Linked DNA regions of Coturnix japonica. The protein of the gene in region 2 purifies or fractionates together with the protein of the main gene of each other region. This does not show direct contact. Links are inferred from orthologs where the notes say so. Each region holds a gene or a part of one and is shown on either strand. Other genes may lie near its edges. The genes, in order: NCBP3, PNN and PRPF4B.

Region 1 (3,543 bases), on a different chromosome or scaffold from region 2:
TCAGTTAATGTTTGATTTTGGCTAATTTGTCTCCTGAAGTTCTTTTTGGGATCAGATTGATTCATTGTGCTTTAGTTTTTCCCTTGAACTTGGGTGTAGTTGTCAAGTTTTAATAGCTGTGGTTCTCTATTAGAAGTTGTCAAGTTCAGTCAGAGGAGATTTAAGAGAAGGAACTGTGAAATATAGAGGTGGGTTTTTTAGTCATGTGTCTTTTTGGGAGGCTCAAAAACAATTTCCGTAATAATTTTCTTCTGTGAGCCAAAAGAAAACCAAACAAAAGAAAACCTGAAAAACCTATTTAGACAACACATAGTATATGTAGTTTGGGAAGTGTGTGCTCCTCTGTTAGCTATTTCACTTCAGAACTGAGTCACTGCCCTCCCTACTTTGAGTAGTAACCTGCTTCACATTGTGAGTACTGGATACCTGTAGGTACTTGCAGCATTTAGAAGGGAGGTGGAAGGAAACAGGCTTTGATCCACGTTTTGCAGTCTTGTCTTTGCTGATCTCTGTCATACTTTGAAATTGCAGTGCAGTTTCATTTGCTTTCAGATAAGTAAATTGATAATCCGTGCACGCTGCCTCCGGCACTTACCTGTATGGGGGCTGTCTGGTTAATGTTATTCTGTGCTCATGTGTGCTTCAGATTTCTGTAGACATTCACTGTTTTGATTACTCTCTAGGCTGCACAGAGGAATTGATAAACCCCTTCAGTTTGATTTCAGAGACTTTAGATACTAATATTCAAATGAACTGGAACATTAAAATGTAGATTTCTTTTCCCAATTATTTTCTTCTTTAGAAAAACAGGAGGAAAGTACTGATGATGAGACAGAAGAAGGCGAGGTTGAGGATGAAAATCCAAGTGACATTGAGGTCAGTATAGAAAGAAAATGAAAACCCCATTATGGACATTTTGCTCTCACTGATGTATTCGTGACATTATAGTTTTTACCATACATGCTCATAATTTACAGTTTAATTATTGAAGGAAATAAGGTGGAGAAAAAGGCAGGAAGTGCAGATGTTCTGCTGGTGAGAATAGCCTCATAAAAATGCTTTGTGAAAGTAATTTTTGAAGACTAATAGGGCAGTCAGCATGTAAGAGCTAGGCTGCCTGCTCTATCTAGACTGCCTGCCTGCCTGTTAAAGGAGATAATGAAAAAACAATAGTGGAAGGCAGTTTCCTTTCAGTATAGAAAACAGTGTATAAAGTAGGGAAAAAAAGGGGACTTAGGCTGCCCATAGATTTGTGTGGGCGTCAGCAAACACACTGATGTTTTGTAAGTAGTTTAATCTTCACTGGTTGAATTTATATAATGGGTGCCATTAGTATTTTCTTTAGGGATGGCTCAGCAAACATTCACCCAGATTATGGAAATCTGAATTTTGGCTTATGGAAAGCAGTTATAAATAAATAGTAATAATAACAATAATGCCTGTAAGTCACTGTGTGAAGGCAGAGACCCCATTGGTGAAACCATTTGTAGATGAAACAAACAAAAGCAATCAAGTCTTTCTTTTTCAGTGTCCGAGTTTATTTATTTTCTTCATTGCAGTCATACTGCAGCTTCATTTGAGAACTGATTTAATAATCAGAACAAGTGTTAGGGAGGAAGAGACAAAAATATTTTAAACCTTTTGGCAAGAAAAAGTTTAAAATACGTGATAACTTGTCAAGAAAGAAGTGGAGTTAGTCTGAACAGAACATGGAAAGTAATTTAATAACCAAGGGATTGCTTCTCTGCGAGCAATCCATTTTCATTCAAAAGTAATTTTATTTTTGAGTCCAAAATACCTTTTTTGCCCCCAAAGTTGGATGCCCTCACCCAGGTAGAAGAGGATTCTCTCCTGCGTAATGATCTTCGCCCTGCCAATAAACTGGCTAAAGGAAACAAGCTATTCATGAGATTTGCTACTAAAGGTAAATGAACAGCTTAACAAGCATAATGAATTGATTGCTTGTTGCAGTTTTATTTGTTGACTGATTAATTACTTGAAGCACCTAATTTTTATTTGCATAACTGTTAGGTTTTTTGCTAATTATTAGGTATTAAGATTTTGCTATGAATACACATTCAGTTTGAATTAAATCCAGTTCGTGCTCTATGGAGATTATTGTACATAAAATATTATCTTGGGTTTAGGGCATTCTTCCTTCCCAATACCATAGAATAGGTTTTATGGTGTACTTCTCCACAGAGGTGAATTTCATGTTATAAACTTGAAAATCAGTTGTGATGTTTATGAGGTACTGATGGAAATTGTCACTTAATGCAGCTGAGTTATTAAATTGTATTTTTGAATAAAATGAAAATGCACGTAATTACTGAGCCATGTGGAAGGTGGCAGATCCATAAAGAAAAGAAAGGTCAGGAATAAGGTGAGTGTGGCCTCCAGCAGTTGCACTGGGGTGTAATGCTCCCTTAAGCTGACATGCAGAAACTCAGAGTCTCCATGGAATTGGGCACAAATAAAACTGTGGTGGTAGGAGAAATTTCAGTTGAGGTGTCATCAAAATTGTATCATTTGGGAAGGAAATTGAAATACCACGGACCTGTAAGGAGATAACTCAGTCTTCCTTTCTCTCTCTGTGTCTGACTGGATGCTAGTGAGGTAAATTCAAAGAGGAAAAGAAATATTCTTTTAACATATATTTTTTTCAGATGACAAAAAAGAACTGGGAGCTGCAAGGAGAAGCCAGTATTACATGAAATATGGCAATCCCAATTATGGAGGCATGAAGGGGATTCTTAGTAACTCTTGGTGAGTGTGGGATGGAGGAATTGGGAGGCTGCAGATACTCAGACAAGGTGGTTCAAAGCTGTTGTGACTTGATCTTTTTTTCCTTTTAGTTTCTGTAGATATATCTGAAGTGTGAATAATGTTTCTGCAAAGCGATGATGTATTTGCTAGGGGAATATTTTGTTGTGATGGTAGAAAGTTTTCAGTACACACATGCAGAACAGTTCTCAGGCATAAATGTCTGTTATGAAGTGAGTGAGAATTGCACATGCTTAATCCAGGATTGGTTACAGCTCGTTTCTTTTTGATAGGAATGTCATTCTTCTTATGGTGTTTCAGGAAACGGAGATACCATTCACGTCGAATCCATCGGGATGTGATAAAGAAAAGGACGCTTATTGGGGATGATGTTGGCCTGACTCCTCCTTACAAACATCGGCACTCTGGTAATTGCTGACAGTGTGTCAAAGCTGTGCAAGTGTAACTGGGGGAGTGGAGGGCTGGATGCATTATTTTTGGCATTACTACTTACAGGAGTTGAGAAGATTCTCATAAGCCAACAGGTGTCACATTAAGCTGTGCAAGATGATAGGAATTGTTACGTTTAGTTCAGTATGAACTGCCCCTGCAGCAAGAGGCAGTCATACCTTATACCTTGAGTCCAGCTACATGCTTGAGCAGTATTCTGAGGTAGTGGAACACTACGGGCTTTCTTCTCCTGTAGTGATTTTCTCCCTCTTAGATTACTCTGTAGGACAGATTCCACTTAGAATTTTGGCAAAGTATTCTCTTTTTAGC
Region 2 (4,012 bases):
TCAGTCCCTGCCCGACGCGGAATCCCATGCTCTCCAGTTTGGTGGTGCAGCGGCCGTTCTCCTGCAAGACACAAGGGCGGCCGCCGCCTCAGCCTCGGGGCCGGCCGCCGCCTGACGGCCTCTGGGGCGGGCAGCGGCCCCACTCACCCCTTCGCCTTGCTCGGCGGCGCGGTACAGCCCCGCCACCATCTCGTTGTGCAGCAGCAGGAACAGCGCCTCGTCCGCCATGGCCGCTCCCCTACGGGCGGCCCCCGCCCGCCGTCACGGCAACGGCCCGCAGCCAACGGGAGCCGCTGCGCTGCGCTGCACCGCCCCTTCCGGGAGCGGGAGGGCTCGGGGCCGGGACTGGGAGAGGCGGAGTGATTCTGGGGCGGGTATGAGAGCGGGGAGAGCGCTGATGTGCGGTGTGTTTGTTTTACATCGCCTTCAAAGCGGCACTTTATGTTCAACCCCCATTTTCTGCCTCTGTAAGATGGCAACCGGTGTGTGCCCCGGTGGCGCAGTGGTTAAAGACGCCGCCTTGCAACACTGGGGCCCGGGGTTCGAATCCCCCCTGTGGCGCAAGTGATAGAAGTGCCGCTCTGCTACACAGAGGCTCGAATCCCGGGGGTTGGACTCGATGATCTCTAAGGTCCCTTCCAACCCGCACGAGACTGTGAGACTATGAGAAACCGGCGGGGTGCAGCCTGAGCGGCCGCAGCCAAAACGGCACCGTGTGCAGTGAGAACGGCGGGCAGCGGAGGGCGAACACAGCACAGTACAGTACAGTACAGTACAGCGCAGCGCAGCGCCCCGCGTGCTGCCCCGTTACACGGGATCACGTTACGCCGCGCGGGAGCGTACAACGCGGCTGCCCGCTGTAACGCCCCTCCTGATTGGTCCGTCAGGCACAGAGGCTGTGGTAGCTCGAAGGTGATTGGCTCCCACCGCAGCAAAGCGACGAAGTAACTTCTCGTTAGCCACGAGAGACGTCGCTCTGGCCCTCCCGCTTTGTGATTCGCAGAGCTGGCAGGCAGCGGCTCTCGGTGATTGGCTAAGAAAGATGTCAGTCTGTCTCTGAGCTTTGTGATTGGTGGCCGAGTGCAGAGATTCTTCCCACGGGGGCGTACCCTCTCTCTTGCAGCTCGCCTATTGGCTGTCGGCGTTACCCGCCGCGGGGCTATTGGCTGCGCCGTCCGTTCCCTCGCGGAGCCGAGTGTTGGCTGCCGGGCGGGGCCTGTCCCGCCGTTACCCAGCGGTGCCTCGCGCCGTGCCCGGCTAGGCCGCGCGGGATGGCGGTGGCGGTGCGTGCGCTGCAGGAGCAGCTGGAGAAGGCCAAGGAGAGCCTGAAACACGTGGATGAGAATATCCGCAAGCTCACGGGCCGGGACCCCAACGATGTGAGGTGAGGGCCGGCTTACCGGGCTCCACTCGAGGAGGCCGCCCCCGCACCCCCGGCGCCACCCCGGGCCGTCGGGTTGCGGCCCCGCGGGGGGTGGGAGGGCGGCGATGGGCCGGGCGGTGCCGCTGAGCGATGTGCTGTGTTCACAGGCCCCCGCAGAACAGACTGCTGGCCCTCTCAGGCCCTGGTGGAGGTAGGGGGCGAGGGAGCTTACTGCTGAGGTAAGGACATGCGGCTCTGCTGCTTTATCGCGACTCCGGGTTGTTATCTTTGCGCGTTCTGTGTGCCGGCTTTGATCCGTGTGTTCACCGTAAGGGATCGGGAGCTGGAACAACGCAGTCAAGTGGGAGGCCTGCGGGAGCGCCCGGGGGTCCATAGCGGTGCCTGCAGTGCCCGGTTTGATCTTGGTGCCTTTTGGTGCGATTCCAGCTGTTAGCCTTAAAGTTAAGGAGGACCTCCAGAATGAAGGGAGGTGCGCTCTGGTGTCCTGGGCCTCCTTCCTTTGAAGTGGTGCAAAATCACTGTCTTGGTAATTAAGAAACTGGTGGTGTTTCAAAGGAGAGTAGAAAGAATGGAAGTCACCGGGATTCATAAAACTCACATAGGGGGATTTCCTTTGTGAATTTACCTTTTCTGCCCTCTTTTATTTCTCAGCTCCATGGTAGAGCCAGAATCAAGAACAGACTCATGTTCAGTAGTTTCTTCTTACCTGAGTACATGGGACGTTTCTTTAATTCTTTTAAATTTCAATATCAAATTGTTGCTGAGGCCTTAACACTTAAGAAAATGAAACTTCTTGAACCTACTGAGGTAGCTTGAGTGCAGCAGCTCCTCTGAATAACTTTAAATGGGTTGATTCACAAACAGTGCATTTAAATACATTATTACTGCAGTAACGTTGAATGAGTATAGAATTGAGTAAAAAGTGTGCCTTGTTCAGAGATCACGAGTGGTTTCCTTTCAGGCGTGGATTCTCGGATAGCGGAGGAGGACCCCCAGCCAAACAGAGGGATATTGAAGGGGCATCCAGCAGGTGGGTGGAAAGATGGATGTGGAGACCCTGCTTTTACTGTGATTCTTGCACAGTGGAGATACTTAAATGTATAATTCTTTCTTTCTTTCAAGGGCTTATGTTGCCTGTGGAATCATGGGGGAGAGAACCATATGGGGAATTAAATAATTCTGTATATTTATGAAGGGCAGAAAACTCAAAGGTGTTGAAATCTGTAGCAAGTGCTGTAGTGAAGAGCACTTTTCATCCTTTAGGGAGGGAATTTCTTGTTCCTCATCCATTCTGCACGAAGCTCCTCCTTTAACTTTGTGGGCGTATTTGATGCAGGCTGTAGTGTATTCTTCAATTTTCTGAATATAGTTACAGCGTTAGATGCCAAATTCTAAAAGCCTGATTAAAAAACTTATGCTAAGCAAAGCAGAAAACTTATGCAGAATTTAATACAGCAGACTGCAATATTAGCCCAGACTTGTTTAACAGTAGACACAAATCGTGACTGGGATTTCCCTTTCATTAATCTTAATACCTCCTGTGTGACAGTTTGTGCAGAAATTGGAGGCTTTCCCAACTGGATGCAGATCCATCAGATGTGGCTTTGGCCATAGGGAGCTGCATTTTTCTGAGTACTTAACATGCAGTGGTAAATCTTGACAAAAGCAATACTTGCTTTTGAATTTTTGATTTATACAAAATATATATTGTGAAATGCTTTACTGGCAGCAAACTGCTATGCCCCAGAGCAAAAGCTGAGAATAAGTTTAATACATTACTGAGCTGTTATGTGTTAAAAACCTCAGGTTATCCAAGGGCTCAGGTCCCTGCTAATTGCTTTGTCTGTCCTTAACTGATTTTCAGGTATTTGCCTAGGTAACCTCAATAGCTTCTTGAATTTGAGAAAATCTTAATCTCCATATCTTAGAGTTAGGGTACTATGAATAGGCTGAGGCTGGACTTGATGATCTTTGAGGTCTTTTCCAACCTGAGTAATTCTATGATGCCTTGATGCTTCTAAATCAAACTCATATTTCTCTTACCCAAATAAACGTTTTAGATACTCTGGAAAAAGAAAAGCTCAAATGAAACAAAATCCAAAGCTGTGCTAAAAAGTCAAATAGTGCAGTAATGTGGGTTCATCATTTTTACTTTAATACCAAAGTTATATTAAAACTTAAATCACTTTTCTCACCTGCTACATTAAAAAATTTATCTCTTGCCACTCTTCTGATCAACGGTTTATGGGGATTGTTGATTCTGATGACTATATATGCTGACTTGTGTAGATGCTGTTGTTAATGCATGTTCTCCAGTGGCCAGTAATGCTTTTTATTCCTCAGGCTGGGTGGAGAGCGTCGGACCAGAAGAGAATCACGCCAAGAAAGTGACGGAGAGGATGATGATATTAAAAAGGTAACTCACAACAAAGGGAGCTGTGCAGGAAAAAAGAAAACGTTTACATGAACTGAGTTGTTTGTATTTCTCCGTTGTAGCCAGCATTACCATCTTCTGTTGTTGCTACCTCCAAAGAGCGAACACGTCGAGACCTTATACAAGATCAAAATATGGATGAGAAAGGAAAACAAAGGTATGCAGCTGTCTCTTCATGCATTTATGTGATGCTT
Region 3 (4,341 bases), on a different chromosome or scaffold from region 2:
TAATTTCCCCTTAGTGTTTGACTTAGCCGCGGGTCTGGTTCCATTTCGCGCCTTTTCATTAATTTCCCCCTCTTCTTCAGATCCCGACTCATAACCTTGTAATATTAATCCCATACCGGACTGGACTTTGCCTTCCATTAACTCATTTTCAAGTTCAGCTTTCAATAAAGCCCTTTGTTTCTCCAAATCTTCCAGAGGAGCTAAAAAATCAATTTTAGTTCTTTTTGCTGGTCCATCTTCCTTGTCGGAGGTATCGGCTACCTCTTTCCGTTTATGTTTCTTATGTTTGTGTCTGTGTTTATGTTTTTTGTCCTTATCTTCCTCTGAAGAATGTTTATGTTTCTTGTGTTTACTTCGGTGTTTGTGTTTCTTTTTTTTGTGCCGGCTGTGCTTGTTCTGAGGTTGATCTGCTTCTGACACTTCCCCATTCTCTTCATTTGTACTCTTCTCAGATGCGTTAGCATCCTCAGCCCTGCAAAAGAGATAAAAACTACCCATCAGTATCAGCAATTCACAGCAGCCCTTAAATTCAGGTTAGTTTGATGGCCTCTTTTGTGATAGAAGCTAACTGGTATTTAATTATCTGCTTTTGGAGAATTAGAAATGCACAAGCAACGTAATGAAGTTGTAAGAGTGGGTGTAGTTTGGCACAGACAGACAGCTATGACTGCAAAAAAGAACTACTAGCTTATGAAGATGGAGCAAATACATCAACAAAACAAATCACGCAGGTGAAACCAATGCTTCAGGTTATGGTTCAGCACTGCCAGTATTTGGTAATAGCATACAACAGTATTGCGCACTTATACCTCCCGTTAGTCCGCTATCTGTCTTATTTACTGCTCAATTCCTATGCCAAACCCAAGCCATGTCCTCTACAAGTACTTTCAAAAGATAGAGAGCAGTTGTCCCCCAGAGATCAAAACTTATTTCAAGGGATGATTCTGACCCCCTAAGTAAACCATCCCACGCAGTCTCACGCACAGCAGGCTGACTCTCTTAATTATCATTCCTATCTGTGTGTACACTTGTTAAGACAACATTATCCTGCATTTATATATGCAGAAACAGTATAAATTAAGAACAACTAATTTCGGAAAAGCTTTCCAATAGAATCCAGAAGCCTGTGAGCTTCCTGAGGGAAAAAACAATTGTTCTCTTTAGATCTGTAAAATGGCATTGGACAAAAACAAAGAGAAAATGAAATCAATTACCAGCTACAGCGAGATGAATATCTGCCTTTTAAAATCTGCAGCCAAATCACCTCCTAGATGCCAGTAATGCCTTTCTGCAAACTCAGCCCACCTGCACTAGTTTTGGAACTCGCTCTGGTATCTTAAATACCGCTTCATCCCCAGCCTTGTTCACTGAGGGGAAGTTCACGGGGTGTGATGGTCACAGCGGTGGTGAGATGCACACAGAAATGTAGAGATACCCTCACAACACCGCTAGCTTCATCCTGCAGAGGTCTCTGAAGGATACGACCAATGATCCATTGTCATAGTCGTATCAGAATTATTCTTTACCAAATAAAGGATGAAACCACACTACGAATTCAATTAGCGTCCTCCTCATTAAGGATCCTCAAGCAGTACAGTTAATAATTATCTCCTATGTGAGCTCTTGAGAATCCTCCTTCTGACAGCATTAAATCACAGAATGGCTTATGCTGGAAGGGACCTTAAAGCCCACCCGGCCCCAACCCCCTGCTGCGGGCAGGGCTGCCACCCGCCAGATGAAATAGTTCAGAGCTACTCCATGCTCAGGCACTGATTTATTTCACGTAACTCTATCCAAACACAGACAAACTTTTAATTCGTTTAACTGCTCCGTAGCCGTGATTACATGGAAGAGAAATCTTGTAAGCGAATTTCAGAAGGTGATGAGGCCACGAGGTACCCACACGCTTCTGTAGCAGGAGTTATGACATCTGTGTGAGAGCCCTAACTTTCCTTAATGTTTTGAGATTTAAGGCAAGGATCTACATAAGTTTAGGAAGATTTGCAGAGATTTTACCTATTCACTCCCTACCTTCGGGCTTTCTATGCAAATCGTTACTTTATTCTCTTTATTTACGGATCCCGAGCGATGCCGAGGAGCCCGAAGTCACAGAATCACAGAATGCCCCGGGTTGGAAGGGACCTCAAGGATCATGTAGTTCCAACCCCCCTGCCTAGCAGGACAAGTCGGAGCCCGAATGCAGCGCGCAGCCCCCCGGAAGGAGGGGCCGGCAGCGACAAATCGCTTCTTGCTCCCAGCGACGCCTTCACTCTTCGTACCGCGAGAACCCGCGGCTCGTGGCGCTGGGCTCGGCAGCCTCAGCAGCGGAGCGGCCCGGCCGGGCCCAGCGGGGCGGGAGGCACACGCCACCGGAACACGCGCCGCTCCCGGCGCTGCTTCCCCTCCCCCGCCCCGCCGTCCATCGGCCGAGCGGCCTCACCCCGCTCCCCGCAGCACACCGGGCCGCGAACGGCTCCTGCAACCGCGTTCGCAGCCCTGTCCGCGGAGCGGCTGCCCGCCGCCCTTTCCTTCCCTCCTTCCCTCCTTCCCCACGCCGCCTCCGGCCCAGCCACCCCGCTACCCGCCGCCCCTTCTCGGCGCTGGGGCCGCTCTCCGCCTCCCCCCACCCCGAGTTGCCGCTTCGAGCTGCCGCCCCGCCTGCCCTCCCGCCCGTCCCTTACTCAGTCGCTCGCTGTTCAGGCTCCGCCGCGGCGGCCATTTTGAACTTCCAAACTCCTTCGCTGCCGCTGGGGAGACGCGGGGCCGCGGCGCAGGCGCAGCCGAGCGGCCGGGAGGGGTTGGGGGATGGCGGGGGGGCGGCAGCCGGAAGCGAACCCAGAGCGCGGGGCGGGATGAGAACCGACGGCACCGCCCTCTGGCCCGGGGAGCGCGGGCGGCCGTAGGGAACGAATAGGGAGAGGGGCTGCGCTGGTGCTGCTCCGTTGGCTGTGGTTAAGACGGCTTGGAGGGGACTCTAAATATTCTAATGCTGGTTTGCACACCGGCACCGCCTGAAGATGAATGAATTTAATTGCGAACGCCGTCTGCGAAGGCGCTGCTACCCCGCTGTGTCTGAGGGCTCCCGACCCACGTTGCTGGCCCGGTACAAGCGTTGCTTGCTCCAACATCAGAAGCAAGATCATAGCACACCTGGTGCTATACTCAAAGTCAGGCTGGACGGGGCTTTGAGCAACCTGATGTACTGCAGGTGTCTCTGTTCATTGCAGGGTGTTGGACTAGATGGCCTGCAAGGATCCCTTCCAATTCAAATGGCTCTATGATTCTGTGTCAGACATCAGTCAGTCCTAGCGTGGACCGAGATGAAAGCATGTCGTATAGCATAAGAGATGAAGTTAACCAAGAAAATAAAGAAGATGTATGTCTTGTTGCCACTGTTGATGTCGGATGCTGTGATATGAGCCTGGGGAGTCAGAGCACTAATTCACCTGGCCCTCGCTCTTGTGAAGCCATGAATTCATGTTCAGAGAAGAAACAGAGTGGTTTCAGCTTGAGGAGCCCCAGCCTGCAGCATCTGCTTCTCTTTCAAACTCCGTGGGCTTGAACAAAAGAACAAAGGTGAAGAAGCAACCCAGGCTATTACACCTTTAAGCCTGTGTCATGTTTCCAGCGTTAGATCTCAGACTATGGTTTGTCTCCTAAAGCTAAACTGAAGGCTGAAAGTTGCAAAAATCAGAAGGAAGCTAGATGTAATGGTAGATGGTTAACTCATCCCATGAAGGATGTCTGCACCTTAAAGCTGGGTTCTGAAAGAGCCTAAATCCTGGGAAGGTGCTGTGATGTGGATTGAACTGGGTCCTAATGGAAAGTCTGTAAAACTTACCCAAGCAGATGCAAGTAACTTAGCAGGGCTTCCTCCATGGAGGTGTTTTCTGTCATCAAATGCCTGGAAATGGCACAAGAATTCCTCCAGGGGAAACTTCACCTCCTTTGGTGCAAGAAGGATTCATCACCGCTTGAGAATGAGCAGGTGAGATTTTGCTTTTCCGTGAGCAGATTTGCCCGTGTAAAACCATGAGTTTAGTGCTTGCCTTGAACTTGCTGATTAATCTCTTGAAAAATCTGCTTGCAGGGGTAACTGAATGTTTTTCTGCTTACATGGTTGGTGTTACAGATGATCTGCAGTGACTGTTATGGCTAATAGAGACCATAGAATCATTACTAAGATTAACTTGTCCATCTATTGTGCCTGCTGACCTGTATTCCTTAGCGATACATCTATGGTTTATTAAGCGCCTCTAGGGATAGTGACTCTGCCACATCCCTGGGCAGCCTGTTTCAGTACCTATTTAGATGTTTCCTAATATCCAACTTGAGCCTCCC

What was found.
Region 1: the proteins of PNN (region 2) and NCBP3 purify together in Homo sapiens (co-immunoprecipitation; 3 studies listed by BioGRID and IntAct, counting the BioPlex papers as one, with this or other methods). This does not show direct contact. The link is inferred for Coturnix japonica from reciprocal best matches to the Homo sapiens genes PNN and NCBP3.
Region 3: the proteins of PNN (region 2) and PRPF4B purify together in Homo sapiens (affinity purification with mass spectrometry; 5 studies listed by BioGRID and IntAct, counting the BioPlex papers as one, with this or other methods). This does not show direct contact. The link is inferred for Coturnix japonica from reciprocal best matches to the Homo sapiens genes PNN and PRP4K.

The regions. Positions count from the first base shown.
Region 1 is NC_029534.1:3,961,742-3,965,284, reverse strand, and holds part of NCBP3 (nuclear cap-binding protein subunit 3), read left to right. Parts: intron 1-802; coding exon 803-876; intron 877-1,815; coding exon 1,816-1,924; intron 1,925-2,666; coding exon 2,667-2,766; intron 2,767-3,084; coding exon 3,085-3,191; intron 3,192-3,543. UniProt on the Homo sapiens protein: Associates with NCBP1/CBP80 to form an alternative cap-binding complex (CBC) which plays a key role in mRNA export. NCBP3 serves as adapter protein linking the capped RNAs (m7GpppG-capped RNA) to NCBP1/CBP80.
Region 2 is NC_029520.1:34,113,806-34,117,817, forward strand, and holds the start of PNN (pinin), read left to right. Parts: upstream 1-1,170; 5' UTR 1,171-1,271; coding exon 1,272-1,384; intron 1,385-1,530; coding exon 1,531-1,602; intron 1,603-2,345; coding exon 2,346-2,414; intron 2,415-3,516; exon of another isoform or gene 3,517-3,727; coding exon 3,728-3,800; exon of another isoform or gene 3,801-3,820; intron 3,821-3,880; coding exon 3,881-3,975; intron 3,976-4,012. Other genes in the region: TRAPPC6B (trafficking protein particle complex subunit 6B), read right to left, coding at 1-61, 148-228. UniProt on the Homo sapiens protein: Transcriptional activator binding to the E-box 1 core sequence of the E-cadherin promoter gene; the core-binding sequence is 5'CAGGTG-3'. Capable of reversing CTBP1-mediated transcription repression.
Region 3 is NC_029517.1:63,504,297-63,508,637, reverse strand, and holds the start of PRPF4B (serine/threonine-protein kinase PRP4 homolog), read right to left. Parts: upstream 2,815-4,341; 5' UTR 2,720-2,814; coding exon 2,682-2,719; intron 473-2,681; coding exon 1-472. UniProt on the Homo sapiens protein: Serine/threonine kinase involved in spliceosomal assembly as well as mitosis and signaling regulation. Connects chromatin mediated regulation of transcription and pre-mRNA splicing.